Arabidopsis thaliana: one gene and its partner. The protein of the gene in region 2 interacts with the protein of the main gene of each other region in a pairwise test. Each region holds a gene or a part of one and is shown on either strand. Other genes may lie near its edges.

Region 1 (3,443 bases), about 21 Mb from region 2:
GGGGACTTGTACTCTATCTTAGGAGAAGGAGAGTAGTATGGTGGAGGTGGAGAATTGTAGACGTACGGTGGTGGTGGAGACTTGTATTCAACCTTTGGCGAAGGAGAATAGTATGGTGGGGGTGGGGAGCTGTAGACGTATGGTGGTGGAGGAGACTTATAGTCAACCTTCGGAGAAGGAGAATAGTATGGTGGAGGTGGGGAACTGTAGACGTAAGGTGGTGGTGGAGACTTATAATCAACCTTTGGTGAAGGAGAATAGTATGGTGGAGGTGGAGAGTTGTAGACGTTTGGTGGTGGTGGAGACTTATAGTTTACTTTTGGAGAAGGAGAATAGTATGATGGAGGTGGTGGAGAAATATAAACGTATGGTTTTGGATGTGGCGCGTACTTAGGGCTTTTGTGTTCATGGCTGGGAGAATTGTAATGTGGGGTTTGAGGGGATGAGTAAGGAGAGGAGTAAGGGTATGATGTCACTGTAGCCGCAATGGCACTTAGGACCACAACGTAAACCATGCAATGCCCTAACCCCATCGTTCTTGAGGATCTCATCATACCCATCTCTTTATTTTTATTTATTTGTTTTGGTTTTATGTTATACTTGAACATGAATACCATTTATATAGTCTTTTTTTGTGTGTGTAAATATTATACTATCTTCTCAAGTTGGCTTCGTGTGTGGCACTTCCAATTACATTAGAGGACGTGCAATGTTGTTTGTTTGAAATAAAGTAGCAATTCGATCGTGGAGAATATGAAATTTTATTAGATCCTCAATTTTTGAAATATTTGTTCGTTTTCTTTTGTTTGAACTTTGTCAACTCAAATAATTAGAAGAACAAAAGACTATTAATGATTATTTTAGCTATTGAGAAAATTTTTGTTTCATAAATTTTATGTGACAAGGGAAAAAATATTTTATTTCTCTTATGATGAATTAAAAGGCTGTGTATTAACTACTGCTTTTGTTTCTAAAGGATTATTGAAGAATTTTAGGGTATATTAGAGTTGCTTAAGCTGTTCTTCTTCTGTTAAAGCAACTGCATGCGAATCGATCGTGTGAGCAACGTTTGGTTCACGACCATGTTCTTTCCTCATGGGCGACCACTTTCATGATCCATTATAATAAAACAAATATGACGAAGACAAATTAACATAATATATCGTCACTGTTGCAGTTTGTTATGGAGAGTAACATTAATGAATCTGTTTTTAACAAGATCGTACTTCGAGACGAAAAGCAAAATCCAAACACAAAAAAAAGTAATCGCGCAGATGAGGAAACAAAGATGTGACACCACGCAGTTTACCATCTAACTACATTAATTTGAGGGATCCACCTGAAAACTTGTACTATATGTTAATTCATATGCATGGTTGTTTTATTTTACTTTTTGGTCTTGTGGTTAGTATTACCTACTCAAAAATGAGGATTTGATTAGATGAGGCAACATACAATTTGATTAACTACTCAAAAACATGGTTGTTCTAAAACTGACCATAAGGAAGAAAAAAATGTATATATATCACGACAGAGATTTGAAGTTTTGGACTAAAGCCTCACACATAGCCATCAGTGTTATATACTGTATATAAGCTGTCACTATTAAACATAGAAACAGGAACCTTAAAGATACAACTATATACTATCTTGACATCAAATACGTGTACTAAAACCTTTTCATAAAAGATGCATTGACATGACATATCAATGATGGTAGTTCGACGGGTAGAAATCATCAAGGCAAATCCGCATTTGAATTGAATGCTCACTAGATTATCTACAAGGAGACAAACCAATTAGCTCACTAGTTTAGTTCAATTCTTGTCTGGCTAATCCTATCTACATATACAAGACTATAATATAGCAAAATTAGAAAGAATATAGCTAGAAACGGGTAAATATATACTACTTACCAAAAACTAAATGTGCCTGAATAGGTCTATTATAGTTAATAGTTATTCAGTGTAAATTATCTATGTACATACCCCATCGGGAATTAAATGCAAGAAACATAGAGGAGACCGTACTTCGAAGTTGCAAATTTAACACTAAGTTGAAGAATCTAGAAATAGAAAGCCAAAATCTTCCTTTACTTCAACTCTACAATTTCAATCTTTTCTCTGTACTTAGCCATCCAGAGTCATAACCACCACTATATTAAAATGAAGACTTATGATTTCATGAACGTCAACTCTTTCTCTCCTAAGGAAAGACCCATTCGCCTCTTTGGCTTCGAGTTTGGAGCTTCTCATGAAGAATCTGAGTCCAAAGACAATTACAACGAGAACAATGAAAGCATCAAAGACGATAACAAAGAAAAAAGATTCAAGTGCCACTATTGTTTCCGGAACTTCCCTACTTCACAAGCCCTAGGCGGCCATCAAAACGCTCACAAGAGAGAACGTCAACAAACTAAACGCTTCAACCTCCATTCAAACGCAGCCGCTTTCTTCCACCGCCAACAAAACCACATTGCTGCTTCTAGGCTCTACGAGGATCGCTATAGCCTTGAAGCTGTTCAAATCAACGACGCGAGATTAGGGTTATGTCGTATGTATAACTCATCTGCGAGTTTTAATCGTGACCGTTCATCTTATTATAATAGATATATTCCTTGGTTCATCGGTGATCACCAGACTAGACCAACGTATGTCGGTGGTGGTAGCAGCAGCCATGGTCTGTTTTACGAGTCCAAGAAGAATGTACCGGACCACGTGAGTTTGGATCTACGCCTCTAGTTCCATTCTTTTAGTATCTCTCTCTAGCTAGTTCTTAAAAAAAAAAAAAGAGAGACTAGTTTTTTTTCCTTCTTTCAAATACTTTTTATTTTATTTTAGTCTACTTGATTAATTATGAATTTATGATAGTGTATCCCCGTAGATATCATGTTATATTAACAGTTAAACAATTTTATGGAGATGAACTTTAACTTCAGATAGTTTCTTTCTGAGATTTAAAGTCTTAAATATTATCGACGCATTCCAATCTCAGAATAGGTTTATATCTCACATTATAAGTATAGAATTGAGAATGGACCTTAACCCATGAAACTTAACAAAAACAAAATTAACATATGCTAAAATCTTCGGATTGTATTTTAAAATCGCTACTTGAAACTTCAACTTGTATCTAAAAAGGTAAAATTATTAATTGAATAATATAGTGTTTAGAAGCGAAACATTCGTCAATCACATCTAACGACGGTTAAAGTATGTGATTAATTGGGAATATTTAAATGATCGATTTGATAATCAGCAAGACAGCAACCATAAAAGTGGACACTTTAATTTTCGTAAAAAACAATTTGACCTTTTATTTTCTAAAAAAAATATTCAAATATCAAAAAATACGAATTTATTTGTAACATTTTTTTCGATTTTTGTTTTTTAATATTGTTATTTTTTTCATTTGACACATCGTTATTTTCATATTACTTACCA
Region 2 (3,761 bases):
CCACCAGTCTCCGCCGATGCTCCATATATCGCAGCAACATCGCCAGTAACAACCCCTGATATTCCATCAACTCCAGCGAATACGCCGGACATATTTCCTTACGGACGAGGTCCGGTGAGTAGTTCTGCACCAGCGACGGCGAATCTGGCTCCAGAGACTGCTGAGGTTCCCGCCGGAGCCAAGTCGGCTTCTAAATTCGTTCAACATGATCTCCTATGCATATTTTTGATCTTAGTAGCCACTTTGGTTCTTCCAGCTAACTAGCTTTTTGTCAGACTATAAGAAGACTCTTCAGTATATCTTGTAATTCTAATGAACAAGATACTTACTTGTTTTGTATTGATTACTTTATAGTATATTAATGTTGGTAGATTATATTTGTTAGTACAATATGTTTTCGTAAAAACACCATTTTCTTATTCCATGATATAGCTATGAAAAAAATCAACAAACTTAATAGAAACTTGATAAAAAGAAGTTTATAAAGCAACATTCAAACGGAAGAAACAAATGACATTTCTCACATAGAAAGTTTACTTGAATCCTCCAAATCATTAACTTGTGCAAACCTGAAGGGATAATCTTGGAACTGCTTCACATTGTTGAACATACTGTTTCCTAAACCCCAATGTATTGGCTCCATATAAGCTGTCCTCTGTACCATCGGACCATATGGACCATCCGAACAACTCCCGTAAAACAAGCTTTGCCCGTTCGCTATCATCGGCTCTGTCACATTCGAGAAGGAAGACACTTCCGCAGTATTTGAGGTCATCTGGTTATTAAAAGGGAAGAAAGAGAGCCCGTTGTAATCCATAGTAGGCAGAGGAAACAACTGATACTGCTCAAAACATTGCCGATTGTAACCGCATAAACCAAGTTGGTCATTAGACCAACAACTAGTGTCAGGAAATGTCTGATTCCTATTCGTAGCCTCTTGGATCTTGTTTTCTACTGCCATGAAAACCGCATAGAGGTCATTTAAAGAACACTGGTCGAGCTTTTTGTCCCATGTAGGATACTTTGTCGCAATCGTCGGTTTCTCCACCTTAGTGTTGTTTTTCTCCAAGCATTCTTGCACGGTGTATGTCTTGGTGCAGCTGCTTGACGCAGTGTCTCTGTACTTGGTTAAGATTTCACGGACTTTGCTCCCATCCTTTGGCCATAACTCGGGCTCCATGACCATTTCGTCCCCTGCTCTGCTCGGGCCGTACACAATGACACAAGTGTCCACACCGCAGAGTGTTGAGAACTCACTGGCTTTCTTATACAAACATGCTTTCCTCTTCTTGTAAGTCGTTATCCTCGTTTTCTCGTTCGTTATCCTCGTCATCTTTACCATCTTTCGACCCATCCAGATACCTTTGCTTCAATCTAAAAAGCCATAAAAGAGTAAAACACAACAATAGATCATAATCTTGAAAATTGAAATAGTAATATCATCATTTGGATGTAACGATCAGCTACCAAAACATACAGAAACACTACAAATTTACAACCAAAGCACTAATACTAGTAAACATTTTGTTGTCAATAAAAAATTTGTAACTCATATAGCTTTTAGGTTTACATTTTAACATTTCATAGCAATGTAAGCCTTACAAATGTATAGGGAAGAAAGATTCATATTATTTTATTCTCAATTTTTTCACTAATAAGCATAATCCTTATCGTTTTGTCAAGCTTCCTATGCATAATTCCAAATCCATATACGATTAACACGAATAGTAAAACAGATGGGATATTAACATAAAGTAAATGCAGAGTGATTACTAGAAGAAAAAAAGAATGTATATAATACCTTCTTTAAGAGCTCTACTTTCTGAAGTTTCTTGATTTAACAATGGAGTTCCTCTTTCTGTGTTTATATAAGACACACGCAAAAAAAGAATATATGTTTTTTTTTTTTTTTTTTGTCGTAAAGAATATATGGTTTATTCTCGAATATTGTTTCCTCCCCTAAATTACGGTAGCAATGCTGATATTTTATTTCTTTCCATGTTTTCGAGTAGAATTAAAGAGGACGAAGCTATACAAATCTTTAGTTTCTATGTTCACGCACAAGTGATAAGAGTTCAGTTAAAGGAAAACATTGTAATTACAGCATGATCAAGAAAGAAGATTTTGTTTGTGATTTGTGCCAATTAATTTTCTCAAATATTCCTTTTTTGCTTTAATTGAAAACTTTGTTAATATTCTTACGGAAATTTGGCGCCGGAGGTGGCTGAGGTTCCGTTTGCAAGTTGCAACAATGTTCTTATTGGTCTTCATGGCCACTTTGGTAGTTTGGTTGTATAGAAATTAGAAAAAAGATTAAAGTTTGTTGTCGTAAGTTTGTCACACTTCTGTGATGACTATTTGTACTGATACTCGATAGTTCATTTTAATATAATACTAGGAGACATCGACAAATAATAAATTTGTTTCATAAAATTTTAAACTACTAGTAGCTGTTGGTGTTGATCGATTGATCGGTAATTCATAGCCTTTGAAATATACATTTAACAATTTCACCAATCACCATATGCTCATACGCACTGGTATGTAACTAAAAAATGACTAGAACTTGTAAAATGTCCCATGCAATTATTACTTAGTGCGTATTTTGAAATTTTGTTTTTTTATCCTTTATTATCTTTCACATTCGAATAAATATCAGCTATATGTGATAAACAAAGTTTTGCCACTTGATGAGTAGTACTACGAGACTGAAACGTGACATATCGTGGACCCATGATTTAATTTGATCAAACTATATGACAATGAAGACGGAAATAATAGGTTAACTTAAATATGTGAGACATTTTTCGTATACTATTTATATGCCAAATTCACTACTATAATTGGTAATAGGCAGTGTTGATGGTGGCGAGTAGCATGGGATATGTTCTAATGGGATATTTTACATGCTTATCCACTAAGGGACGATATGTTTCCACGTCAGCAAAATGGTTAATTCCATTTTCTTTGTTAAAAAACCTTATTCAATGGATATTTAATATCATATAAAAAAATTACCATCTAAAAGTACAATTAGTTTGACTATATGCTATTCAAGTCCTCATAGTTTTATTATTCAATTATAAGTCAGTCATAATAGAAATTTAAACTTGTTTCCATGTTACACATTAAACACCAGTTTGAAAAAATCAACTCTGATTTTTATAATAAAATAAATGTAATCTCAATCATCTCCTGAACTTCAACAAGTAAAACGTTAATTAGTTTTGATAATTTCACTGATTTGTTTCATAAAAACACCTATACTCCTATAAATAATTAAATATTGTAGGCACGAGGTATATAGTAGAGAACGAAAGTTGGGGTCAATTATAGAAATATTTAAAACATACGGGCAAAAAATAGAAAATAAAGGCAATAAAGGAAAAAGTATAGGGTCAAGAAGGAATTATAAAGTTGATAATTTTCTTGATTTAAAAATTCAGTATATATATCAGAAAAGCCCCAAATAAATTTTGGGTCGTTAAAAAGAAAAGAAAAAGAGAAATAGAATTTTGCGTTTCAAGTACTCCATCTCCGTCTCTTTTCCTCCGCATCTAAAACCATCTGAGAAATATCTCCGACGAAGGAGAAGAAACGAAAATGACGGAGACTGGAGTAATCGGATGTGGCTGTCGCGGAGTCACCGGCGGCAATTTCTTCCATCCCGGAGGATTTTCTTTGAAATCTTGTTTCCTCGAGCAGAGTACAAAGCGTAATCGTAACTTTTTCCGAAGCGTTTCTATGATTCCTCCTTTCAA

Evidence for each region. The genes of interacting proteins can lie anywhere in the genome.
Region 1: the proteins of AT5G55690 (region 2) and GIS2 interact in a two-hybrid assay, tested with the Arabidopsis thaliana proteins (one large-scale study listed by BioGRID).

What each region holds. Positions count from the first base shown.
Region 1 is NC_003076.8:2,041,321-2,044,763, forward strand, and holds GIS2 (C2H2 and C2HC zinc fingers superfamily protein), read left to right. Parts: upstream 1-2,098; 5' UTR 2,099-2,165; coding exon 2,166-2,741; 3' UTR 2,742-2,880; downstream 2,881-3,443. Other genes in the region: EXT10 (Proline-rich extensin-like family protein), read right to left, coding at 1-608; AT5G06645 (gibberellin-regulated-like protein), read left to right, coding at 1-22. UniProt on the Arabidopsis thaliana protein: Probable transcription factor required for the initiation of inflorescence trichomes in response to gibberellin and cytokinin. Is not involved in the regulation of trichome branching. Is functionally equivalent to ZFP8.
Region 2 is NC_003076.8:22,548,270-22,552,030, forward strand, and holds AT5G55690 (MADS-box transcription factor family protein), read right to left. Parts: upstream 1,826-3,761; 5' UTR 1,802-1,825; intron 1,377-1,801; exon of another isoform or gene 1,375-1,376; 5' UTR 1,355-1,374; coding exon 521-1,354; 3' UTR 438-520; downstream 1-437. Other genes in the region: AT5G55680 (glycine-rich protein), read right to left, coding at 1-92; BAM4 (beta-amylase 4), read left to right, coding at 3,604-3,761.